Oryza sativa Japonica Group: one gene and its partners. The protein of the gene in region 1 interacts with the protein of each later gene in a pairwise test. Links are inferred from orthologs where the notes say so. Each region holds a gene or a part of one and is shown in the gene's direction. Other genes may lie near its edges.

Region 1 (4,228 bases):
GACTTAGAGACTTGAGGCAGACACGATCACCCACGTGGCCTAACTCCCTCGGGGGGGGGGGGGGGGCGGGCCCGAGGGTGATACGGCTGCCCTTCTCTTTGTCTCCCCAAGGGGTCGGGCCGCTCCCGTCTCGGCCCCGAGGGCCGAAGCGCCCCGACCCCTTGTGGGTTTTGCGCCACGTATATGGGGTAGGTGAGCATGGCGGGGCTCACCTAACCACATTTATTGCAGTTTTGACGAGCGCGTCACGCCGCCTGTATCGCAGTACAGCACGCTCGTTTATCCGGTCTGTGACCAGTCACAGACCGGTCAGATCATGGGTTAGGTGGCGACAGGCGGTCTGACGCACGCCTCGCCCCATCCCGTCAGGACGAGAGCCTCCAAGCACTCGTCCCTAGCTGGAGCCGGCGTGTTAGCTCCTGGAGATGGCACGTTGGTTCCGGTCAGATATATGCCAGGCTTCATCCTAACCATTACAGGCAAGATATTGTATGAAGAAGGGCGAACATGCAGATTGTTAAACTGACACGTGGTGGACAAGAATGACCGATTTGTGACCGGTCTGACAATGGTCAAGTCATCAGCAGACAGCCATCTTCCCACGTCGCGCCTGCCTCCGGCGGAAGTGGAGGTAGGTATGGGCCGTCCCATCAGAAGGTCATTCGGACGGCGGCGATGCAAATCTCCGTCTGTTAATGAAGAGAAGTCAAATTGGAAGAAAGAGAGGGGGAGATGGTGCATGTGGTATCCCCTTAAGATATAAAAGGAGGACCTTGCCCACTTAGAGGGGGGATGATTGGACTTTTCCAGATTGGGAACCCAGAACAAGAGAGAGGCTGGCTCATACTTTGTAGCTCCTTCATACACAGATCCTCCAAAACACAGGAGTAGGGTATTACGCTTCTCAGCGGCCCGAACCTGTATACATCGCCGGCGTCTTGTGTGTTTCCTGTCTCGCGAACCTTCCACAAATTGGGAGCTTAGAGTCTCACCCAGGGTCCCCGGCCGAACCGGCAAAAGGGGACCAGCGCGGTCTCCCGGTGAGGAGCCCCACGCTCCGTCAGTCGCTATGGGCTACTCGCCTATTGGGCTTGCAAGCACACGCTGACGTACTTTGCGCCATCAAGATCGGACGGTCCTCGATCATGACAAAGCCCCGTCAGCATATGCATCACATCGCACGGTCCTGATCGCGCCACGGCAGCACGTTCGTCATCGCCACGGTCCGTGCCGGGGCCCGGGCCTTCGCGGGCCCCGCAGCGAATCACCGTAGGTGGGGCCCAGCCCAGGACCAGGGAGATGACCACACGCCGCGCAGGATCGGACGGCCGCGATCTCGCGGGGACCGCCGCGTGTCCCGTGGGGGAGGGACTATATATGGGCCGGAAACGAGACGGCTTGCACTGCCTGTGCACTCGGCGCCCTCTCGTCGTATATGGGGGAAGGATCCGACGGCCCAGCGCGACGCCCGCAGTGTTCTCTCCCTCCCCACCTCGATCTCTCTCTCTCGCTTCGTGGCTCTTCTCTCCTGCGACTGCGAGAGGAATCTCCCACTCAGTCCCAGATTGTTTCTGTGCGGCGACAGCGTCGCTGCGTAGCTTCTGATATCTTTGCCGCCGCTGTGTTTGGCGCCATTGACGCAGCCGCATCCACTCCTCGACCAGACAAGGGAGGCCTTTCTCTCTGTGCTATCTCCAAAGGCTTCTGAGTCGATTCAGAGGCAGAGCTCGAAACCGAAAGGGCGGCGAAGGTGAAGCCGACCGGCGGGCTGCAAATTGCGCTCGTTCGCTCACCGGCGACGTGGAGGAGAAGGTAATGGTGGTGACGGCGACGCACGCAACCAGCTTGCTTGATGCTTCGTCTTATCTTTGCTTTGCTTTTTTTTTGTGTGTGTGTGTGTTGAGTTACACTTTTTCTATGTTTTGTTTTCTCGTCTTGCATGCCGTTTCTTACCCTGTTCTGTTCACCAGAAAGTCAAAGTCCGTTTATCTTGGTGTCAAAAATAAAAGGCCGTTTCTCCTTGCATCCCGCTCTCGCTTCTAGGCGTATACATATTTATTTTGGCACATTTTTGTCTGCATCATTTCAGGCGCCGGAGAGAGAGGAAGAGGAGGCGGAGCAACCCGGTCAGCGCGCGCGTAGGTGGTTTGGGTACGCACACTGTTTACACGGCGAGCAAACTCGGAGGAGAGAGAGAGCTGTGGCTAACGTAGCTATCTGGGGGCCGTCAGTTACCTGTAAGCATCATCTCATCACTCTCACTGTGCCTCTCATTTCTCTCTCCCTCTACAGCAACATTAATTAATTACTAGCTGATACTACTACTGTACAAAAGAAATTACTACCACCGGCCAAAAGAAAACACACACAATACCGTGTTTAAGGTTATCACGTCGTGTTTCTATTAAAAAAGCGCAAAAGATAATCAGCAAAAACCCTACCGGGCTCCACAATGCAGTCACTCGATAGCCGGTCGCTTTAGCCGGGGCCCATATTTTTCTCGGTAGGGATGGAGCAGGAGGAAAAAAAAAATAAAGTCCAGGCAGTACGTTGATCTGGGGGAGGGCGTGGGGCCCCAGCTGCAGTGACTGTAGCTGATACACATCTGAGCGGCTCCCTGCCTCGTCCACCGAGCTACTGCTGTTGGTGTCGTTTGGAGTCTTCCCCATACGCCCCTGCCTACCTCGCGTGGGTAGCTGCGCCTCATCTGCATGAACACTGTGCACAACACATACACAAACGGGCGGAGCTAGCTAGCCATAGCACACTGGTGGTTAATAAATTTCCATGTGCGCGTAAACATCAGAAGCTTCCCTGCCGCAATGTAGCTGACCGTATTTTACTACTACAACCTGCTTTTCAGTTTTGATTTACTAGTAGTATATGTGTGTGTGTCATGTGGCATGGCGATTAAAGAATCTCTGTGCCTGTGCCCGTCGATCGATCTGCTTTGCCCCGCGTAGCGTTTCTTCCACTGTGTTAGAGCAGCCTGCGAATGCATGCCATGCATGCAGGAGTAGCTGTGAACGACTGTGATGCTGCCATTGGCATGGGTCTTGCTTGCTTTGTTATGCTGGTGCTATACTTTTTTGTCGCTGCAGGCTCCAGTGCTCCACTGCACCAGCTAGCCAGCCAGCTTGCCCCGTTTTGACGCCGGTGGCGAATTGAAGCTCCAGAGACCAGAGTCCCTAGCTATAGCTATCTCTCGTACATACGCATGCTTGCATTGCTCTCTGTTGCTCAACGAGCCGGAAGGACAGCTCCTCCGACGCACACGCATGCGCACGTGTGCGTGGTCACGGACCGGCCGGATAGCTCTGTGCTCGCATAGTGTACCGGATGTCGTGTTCGCGTGCTTACATGTGAGATGCAAGGATGGCATGGCACGTCTGGTCCAAATGGTGTGTGGTACTAGAATGGCGTCACACACCGGCTTGGAAACCGCTTTACGTTATTACAGTACATTGTAGATTGTGGCTATGGCTAGAGGATACTAGACTGATAGTGTCACTGTTGATACTTGATAGGAGTACGTACTTTCGGCGTGTATTTATTTTGGTCGTACATACGTGTGCGTGGATACACGAAATCTCGCACTCGTTTAATTATCATGGAAATGTGTACTATACATGTACTAAGTGTACTATTGCCATGCGAACAACGACAAAGTTTGACCATCTCATGGATAGACATTCTATCACATGCATGCATGCAACTGTAGCCGTGGGCTGTAGTGTCTACATGACGGCATGTCTGATCAAACTTGATCTTTCGTTACAGCGGCTTCAATTCTGATAGATAGCCGTACTGTGGTAGTACTATATATGTAACGCTAATGCACACACTTTTGCAGTTCGATACACAAGGTGAGATTGTGGGGGGAGCGATTGACTACTGATTGATCCGTCTCGTCGTCGTCGATCGAGGAGAGGGAGGCAGATAGGGAGAGGGGGTCAGAGAAGATGCTGGCATGCATCGCGTGCTCCTCCAAGGAAGGCGGGGAGGACGGGTCCCGTGGCGCGGCCACGCCTCACGGCAGAGATGCCGTCAAGTCCCTCACCTCACAGGTACCCGTCTGTCCCTTCTTCTTCTTCGTCTTGATCTAAACTTCTTCTCGTACATGCTACTCCTGGATCGAATTTACACCTGCTACTTTGCCATCAGTACTGCAGTATATAGAGTGTACTACTACATGCTACTAGCTCTGTCTGTATGAGGAAGAGATAGT
Region 2 (4,185 bases), about 10 Mb from region 1:
AAATTTATTAGAGATGGTTTAAGCTCAACATGAACAATACATTTTTGTTAATCTTAAGGTTATTGATCGTGGTGACACCATCAACCCCCATCGACTGGAAGGGGCAAGTGGCTAACAGGGTTTGCAAAAACGTGTAGCAAGAGGCAAGGGGCAAGTTTTTGAAACCATGTTAACCCTCACGGTAACCGCACGGTTACCGTGATAACCGTCTTACGGTGGGGTAGCGATAACCCCACCTAAAATTGTTTGGTGAATCCTGGTGACTAGTCACATATGCCAAACAAATTGAGTTTTGAATCCTAACTCACTTGCTTAGGTACTACTCCCTCCGTACTCATAAAGGAAGTCGTTTAGGATAATGTTTAAGTCAAACCTTGGGAATATAAATCATGAATAACTCTCGAGTTGTGAGTTTGAAAATATAAAAATTATACGAATAGATTTGTCTTGAAAAATACTTTCATAAAAGTATACATATATCACTTTTCAATAAATATTTTTATAGAAAAAAGAAGTCAAATTTATGTTTTGGAGACCGTGTCGCTGTCCTAAACGACTTCCTTTACGAGTACGGATGGAGTATTATTTAACCAGAGGGGGCAAAAGCACATAAGAACCAATAGAAAATCTATCATAGATCAATCTAGCTTATGTTTGTTCTATTCCTAGTGTCATGCACCCATCGAGGCTTGAACACATAACGTTCCTCCACCTCTAGTTAGGTACTTAGGTGTCACAATTGCAACTTCTCGTCATCTGACCTGATCTTCTCAAGCAAATTTTTGATCAATGAGTCATGTATCTTCCTTATCATAACTCGTGGTGTGTTTTTTATGACTGGAAAAAACTGAAAAAGGAAGCTACTTTAGGGCACGTACAATAGAGACACTCGTACTAGTAATCTCAACCTGCCATATAGGATAATACTACACAAAAACCTACCTACAATAAAAACCACTTCTTACTTTCTTAGTATATTTTATATTTCAGAACTGATAATCTACGTGTCGGCTCTTATGATATTTAATTTATATTATGATATCAATTGGAGTTTGTATTATGGATCCTATAATAACAAAAAAAAAGTACATATATACCCTTAAAAGTTAAAATATAGCGAACCCACCTATCAACTGAGTACCCACGTAAATTTTCACCCCAAGGTTAAAGTGAAAAAAATAAGTAAAAAGGAGAACGCGATCTCTCCTCATCCGCCGCCGCCGCGCCCCAATCCTCCTGTGTCGCTGCGATGGTTAACTACCACTCCGATGTGGAGAGCGAGCGACGCGGTTAGATTCTAAGCCTATCCGGTCCGCGAAAATAGAAAAAAGAGGAGGGAAAGGGAGAATGAATCTGTTGCTTCTCTCTCTCTCTTTTCCACCAGACCAGCTGAGCTGAGCCACCACCTCCTCGATATATTCCCCGCAAGCCCACACCTTCCTCTCAATTTCTCCCATTCTCCACTCCACACCCGTCCCGTCTGCATCTACCCGCCACTTCCTCCTCCTCCTCCGCCTCTCAGCTTCTGCTCTTCCTTGTTCTTTGGCCCGCGAGCTGATATCTGCAGTTTGCAACCGAGAAGAGAAAAAAAACGAACCGGGTTTTTTTTTAGGTAAGCGAATCGCGCTCAGGTTTCGTCTGGTTTTTGCGTTCTGTTGCAGGGGGTGCGCGACCTGTTCTAGTGATCTTCCCTATTTCGCGTGCTGCTTCTTGTTGATCCGTGTTGTGCGCTGCGCAGGTCGGCGGGCGGCTAAAGAAAGAAGGGAGCTTTTTGGGTAAAAATTTAGTCTTGTTTTTTTTTCCTTCGCTGGTTGGGGTTGGGGTTTTCAGGGATGGGGGGAAAGGAGGGGCTGCGTCAACTGGCCCGATTCCCATCGCTCTGAACTTGATGGATGCATCTGTGAGTAATCGTATCGTCTGCGCTGTGCGCATGTTCCTTCTTGTTGATTCTCTTCTATCTGTTTCTTCTTTCTTCTCTTATCTGTGTTGTTCGGGGGGTGTTGTGTGTAGGTGAACGCCAAGAAGATTAGTTTCTGTGGGAACACTGGTCATAGCCGCTGTGGTGAAGTTCATCGACCTGCCTGGCCCTGTCGTATGCGGGATCACTCCTTGAACAGAAGCAACCCCTTCTTACTTCAGGTTGTTGCTACCGGCCTAATCTGTCTCTAATCCCTCCGCTCGAGTTCTGTTGCCGTATGTGGTTCCTTAGTTTCTGTTTCCTGATGAAGTTCTTGATTGATTTGGTGGTGGGAGACAAGAAAATTTTAAGAGTAGATCTCATTGAAATTTATGTTATGTGGGTTGTGTCCTCATTTTTCAAGAACTTTGCAAACTGTGCCTGCCATGTTTGGTAGCTTATGAAAATAAAATTCTGATATGTATAAAATGATGCCGTCTATATTTAACAAGGTACAGTCTTGTATAATTAATCTAAAATTGTTGTTGCAGTCATGTAAAAATTTAGGGGATAATATTACCAGTTGCAAATGTCAAACTACTGGGGCGTCTCATCGATTCCTTCCCTGCTTATATTTTGGATGGAAGGATAGTCAAACTAAGGACTAATAGTATTATGCTCAGGGGCAGTTGACGGAAACCATGTTATTCATCAAAGATTCGAGAAGCAATCTTGTTCACATACCTATCAATTACACCTCCTGTACACAACTCTATCACGTTGGACTAGAAAGCTAGAATACATTATGGAGGAAGTCATTCGACCAATTCTAACTTTACCCCTGTATAATTGAATCTGATCCATTAGATCAAAAGTAATGGATGGCTCATATCCATTATAGGGTACTCTAAAGAAACTATAAATTTTGATGAAATATTTCTTTGTTTGGCAACGCTTTGCCGTCTTTATTCTCTACAGTTCAACCATGCTCAGACCGTACTTATATAAATAATGCTTTGTGTTAAAATTGCAGGTCTGGTTTGCGTTTCCATTTAAGTATAAAAGGACCTGTATTTGGCATGGGCTTTAAGTAGCATTTAAACCTTCAAAGCATAGTTTGACAGCAATATACACTACAATCGGTGTTATACTTCTGTTGAAAAAGATGGTGGATGAGGAACTGTTTGATAAGAGCTCCAATGATCACAGCATCAGTTCTGAGGAAGAAGACATGCTTGTCAGGAGTTATAGCAATCTCAACGTCAGCTTTGGATACCATTGTAATTCTTATCAGTGTTTTTCTCTAGACACTGATGAGTATGACATCTCTCCCAACAAGAGGCTTGAAACTAATACCATGATGACATCACAAAATGGATCCTTCACTTGTTTGTCTGGTGCTGCGATTAGTGCCAATTTCACGCTGGCCAATACAAACATTTGCAAGGGTCTTATCGGGGAAGAAATTTTACCAGAACTAGACTCTCCTAATTCTTTCAGAAAAATTGTTTCATCCCCATCAATGTCAAGATTGGACTTGTTATCCACCTCACAAGGCAGCCCTGTATCGACTGAGAGCTCTATATTTGAAATCAGTAAAAATATCTGGAGGTCCAGTGCCCCAACTACTGTCTCATCCAATTTTCTGACAAGTACAGAGATAAAAATGGCTGGTGGAGCTGCTGGAGAGGATAGAGTCCAAGCTGTGTGCTCTGAGAAGAATGGATGGTTGATTTGTGGAATATATGATGGATTTAATGGACGAGATGCAGCTGACTTTTTGGCAGTAACTTTATATGATAATATAGTATATTACCTATATTTGTTAGAGTGCCGGATTAAACAAGAAAATGGTCTATATGGTTCACCAGAGGGCTCTCTTAATGGTGTTAAAAGTGAGTTAACACTGGCCATGAGATTTGCAGAAAATGAAGATGTGAAATTTTCTGAAACATTTCGAGCTGGTGTGCTTAAGTGCCTCACTACTGCTGTTGAGCAAGCTGAAAATGACTTTTTATGCATGGTTGAACAAGAGATGGACGATAGACCAGATTTAGTATCAGTTGGGTCTTGTGTTCTGGTTGTGCTTCTACATGGAACAGATTTGTGCATCTTAAATCTTGGGGATAGTAGAGCTGTGCTTGCTTCAGTGCCGTCTTCAGGAATGGATAAATTGAAGGCTGTTCAATTGACTGAGATCCACTCACTTGAAAATCCATTGGAGTACCAAAAACTTTTAGCTGATCATCCTAATGAGCCATCAGTTGTGATGGGTAACAAAATAAAGG
Region 3 (3,963 bases), on another chromosome or scaffold:
GGTGCCCGATTTTTTTTAAAAAAATAAAAAATCAGGCACTATTTTACTAAGTAGACCGAAAATGTTTCACTAAGTAGATTAAAAATATTTTAATCTTGTAAAAGACTGAAATACAACCAAATCACCTCATGAAACATTTTGCTACAACGTATGAAACAACGGTTTCTAAAAAAATAGGCGTTGTTTTACCCTATATAAAAACAATGTTTCAGCAAATAGTGAAAGAATGTTTCAATTTTTTAAAAAAGTGAAATACAGTCAGATCGCTAGATGAAACAATTTGGTTCAACGTATGCAACAAACGATTTAAAGCCATTTCAACACTTAAACCCTGTGTACATCAATAACCATGTGTCCATCAAGATGAAATTATTAAAACATTATAAAAAATCCACTGCAACATTTCATCCATACATAGTGAAACATCGCGAGTACACTAGCTGAAACATTGTCGGTGGAAAAAAAATGAAATGGATCCCCCCTAATAGGATGTTTCTGTTATATCCGGGCAGATGTTGCAACGGAGCGCGCGTGGTGGAAGCAACACGCGCGCGCGGGAGGCGTCCGAGCTATAAAACTAATATCGCGTAAAAGCATTTGAAATATAAAATAAGAGTACAATTTTTTTACACACACATGTACTTGTGAATGTAAGTAATTATCGGTTATCCTTTAAAATTAGATAATCTAAGAAATGTCATTGACAAATGTCAAAATACAAGAAATGCCATCGTATGAATAATTTTGTCCCAAAAATGCCATTGCCGTTAGGGTTCCTCTATCCCATGCTGTTAAGTGATATAGGATGAACAATATATTTAACGACACGAGATGTGCGGAACTCTAACGACGATGTTATTTTTAGAATAAAGTCGTTCGTACGATGGCAAACTCACGCTTGTCGATGATATTTCTTAAATTTGGACGCTTGTTAATGACATTTCTTAAATTGTCTCTTAAAATTAAAATGCTCTCTACAAAATTCCACGGAGGCACAGAGCGAGACGACAACCATGACATTTTAGCGAGTTCAGTCCATCAAACAAAAAAAAAAAGAAAAGACAAACACCGTTTACTCCTGAAAAAGCCCAAAAGGCCGAAACCCACAAGCCCAGTAGGCCACTTTCCGATATTTCCGCGTCCCCCACGAGTTCCATTCCCAGTTCCCAACTCCCATCAACCATCCTTCTCGACTCCACTGACCAAACACCCCAGCGGACCAAATCGCCGCAGCAGGGCGCGCCATGGAGCCGGCGGCGGAGAAGAGGGAGGCCGAGCAGGAGGAGCTGCAGCAGCAGCACGACGAGCCCGCCGTCCCTTCCGCCGACGACGACGAGGCTGAGGCGGAGGAGAACGAGCGCCGCAACCGCGAGCTCAAGGCCGGCTTCCATCCCCTTAGGGTAAGTACTCCTCCGCCGCCGCTAGATCCAGCTTCTATTTCCCTCCCGGAAAGAGGAAAAGTTGTTTCTCCAGCGCGCCTGGAGGTTGAGATCGAGTAGATAGATGTATGTAAGTAACCCGTGTTCCTTTGTTTTTTTTTTACCTGTGCACCCGCAGCGTAGATTCGTGCTATGGTACACGCGCCGGACTCCTGGGGCGAGGTCGCAGTCCTACGAGGACAACATCAAGAAGATCGTCGACTTCAGCACTGTACGTCACCGCGAATTTCTTTTGGTGGGGATTCTCTAATTTCAGGGCTGCAGATTGGATTGCTGATGCTGTTTGGGTGTCCTGTATGTAGGTTGAGTCGTTCTGGGTTTGCTACTGCCACCTCACGCGGCCGGTTAGCCTGCCGAGCCCCACCGACCTGCATCTTTTCAAGGAGGGCATCCGGCCCCTCTGGGAGGTACTCCTCAGTAGTCAGTAAACCGTGTTGTTCTATGTGGTTGTGTTTTGTTTAGAGTTATCTCTGTTATGCTTCTAGTTGTTGACGGAGTTTGGTTGAGCAGGATCCCGCAAATAGGAGCGGTGGCAAGTGGATCATAAGGTTTAAGAAGACCGTCTCTGGTCGTTTCTGGGAGGATTTGGTAAATACATCTGCACTTTACTGTATATGCATTCGGGTTCTCAGGAGACTAGTAATTTAGTAAGTGCATGTCTGTGGTGACAGATGCGAAATAATATACCGATATATACAGTAGTGAAATAGTTATCCACATGTTTTGAAAACTATATAGATGACAGCATGAGATTAGCCAAAACACACACACATGGATAGGGTTATTTTTCCTACAAAAATATGCTGCAATTATCTCATGCATATCCACAGATATCTATGTTATAGTCACAGAATGTTTTGATGGGGGATGGGTGTGGAACATGCCATCATTGCCCAACTCTTTTCCGAGGAGTGAAAAGATGACTCTTAGGATTGATCATGTGCAAGCTTATTTGTAAGCACCTACGTATCACCGCATTACAATGACGCTGCTTAATTTATGCAATTTTGAAGTGGCCTAGTTCTACAAACCTAATATTGCTTGGTTTACAAATATAAAGTATCTGTCTTTTACCATGCCAACTTCACATGGCTACAATGCCAATGCATGATGAGCAATAAGGCCATGGCATAAAAATCATAGGATGGCCATGCAATGGGCCCATATATCCTGTAGCAGGCCAAACCTTAAATCAAATAGCCCTAAATGACACAAGAGGTTGTGCTGGTACTGTTTGTTCATGTCAATATTGTGACATTGCATTGTTTCCATGTTCCAAGACATGATATTTTAGCTTGGAAGATGTGTTTGCCACATTGGGTTTTAGCCATACTTTTTTCTGTCACTATTTCAGTTGCCATGCCTGCTCAGCATTGGTACCACATTCACGCTGCCTTTTTCTTTTGTTCCATTCTCATTTTCATTTGTTCCTTTTCTTTTCCTGCTATTCTGTTCTATCTATTGTTCCTCCTTGATCTCCGTTGTTGTGATGGTCAATTTGGTGTATTCTGAAATCATTAAGGGCCCATTTGAATCACTAGAATGAAAAAAAAAGGAGGAATAGGAAAAACATAGGATTTGGACAGGAATACAAGTGTAAAACAGAGGATTGCAAAACACAGGAAAAATATAGGAATGACCGTTTGATTGGATCGCAGGAAAAACATAGGAATTTGAGGAGAGAAAGACAAAGGATTCTTTTCATGAGGTTCTACCTCATGTTAAGGCCCCCTTTGGTTCAAAGGAAATTCATAGGAATTTTAGAGAATTTTATTCCTATAGGAATTTTTCCTATATAGCCCTTTGAATCAAAGGAATGGATCTTATGGAATCCATGAAATTCCTATGGATTGCCTAATGCCATGCAAGTTTTGGAGGAATTCTAACATGAGGTAAAACCTCTTGGAAACTTTCCTTTGAGTCTTTATCTCTCCTCTAATTCCTGTGTTTTTCCTGCGGTCTAATCAAACGACCATTCCTGTGTTTTTCCTGTGTTTTGCAATCCTCTGTTTTACACTTACATTCCTATCAAAATCCTGCGTTTTTCCTATTCCTATGTTTTCTCATTCCTGCGATTCCAAGGGGCCCTAAATTTCCTCCAAAACTTGTATGGGAACATGCATTCCATAGGAATTTCGTAGGATTTATTCCTTTTATTCAAAGGTTATATAGGAAAAAAAATCCTATAGGAATGAAACCCTCTGAAATTCCTATAAATTTCCTTTGAATCAAAGGGCCCGACTTTCATAGGAATCATTGTCACATCACAGTATGGTACACAACTATATTTAGGTCTATGCCAGATACTGTATAACCTTTAGCATCTTCAAACCTTTTCTGATGGCTTGTTTCATGCCATGATCTGGGACTAGCATGTTCCACATTCAGTTTTCTTTACCTTCGCAGAAGTCACCTTGAGAATGATTTCAAACTGCTAAATGGTTCTTTCAAGGTTCCAATGACTAATGATGCATGAGACCAGCCATATGCATGTAAAAGTTTTCAGAATAATATGTACTTTTCT

What was found.
Region 2: the proteins of putative protein Brevis radix-like 3 (region 1) and probable protein phosphatase 2C 39 interact in binary tests that used the Arabidopsis thaliana proteins (3 or more experiments, as listed by UniProt). The link is inferred for Oryza sativa Japonica Group from reciprocal best matches to the Arabidopsis thaliana genes BRX and AT3G16560.
Region 3: the proteins of putative protein Brevis radix-like 3 (region 1) and eukaryotic translation initiation factor NCBP interact in binary tests that used the Arabidopsis thaliana proteins (3 or more experiments, as listed by UniProt). The link is inferred for Oryza sativa Japonica Group from reciprocal best matches to the Arabidopsis thaliana genes BRX and NCBP.

What each region holds. Positions count from the first base shown.
Region 1 is NC_089038.1:30,809,000-30,813,227, reverse strand, and holds the start of putative protein Brevis radix-like 3, read left to right. Parts: upstream 1-1,405; 5' UTR 1,406-1,812; intron 1,813-2,089; 5' UTR 2,090-2,237; intron 2,238-3,853; 5' UTR 3,854-3,962; coding exon 3,963-4,067; intron 4,068-4,228. UniProt on the Arabidopsis thaliana protein: Acts as a regulator of cell proliferation and elongation in the root and shoot. Regulates roots architecture and primary root protophloem differentiation.
Region 2 is NC_089038.1:20,390,173-20,394,357, reverse strand, and holds the start of probable protein phosphatase 2C 39, read left to right. Parts: upstream 1-1,358; 5' UTR 1,359-1,612; intron 1,613-1,738; 5' UTR 1,739-1,900; intron 1,901-2,010; 5' UTR 2,011-2,139; exon of another isoform or gene 2,140-2,142; intron 2,143-2,930; 5' UTR 2,931-3,062; coding exon 3,063-4,185.
Region 3 is NC_089037.1:8,647,993-8,651,955, reverse strand, and holds the start of eukaryotic translation initiation factor NCBP, read left to right. Parts: upstream 1-1,159; 5' UTR 1,160-1,244; coding exon 1,245-1,400; intron 1,401-1,557; coding exon 1,558-1,650; intron 1,651-1,741; coding exon 1,742-1,846; intron 1,847-1,949; coding exon 1,950-2,027; intron 2,028-3,963. UniProt on the Arabidopsis thaliana protein: Recognizes and binds the 7-methylguanosine-containing mRNA cap during an early step in the initiation of protein synthesis and facilitates ribosome binding by inducing the unwinding of the mRNAs secondary structures.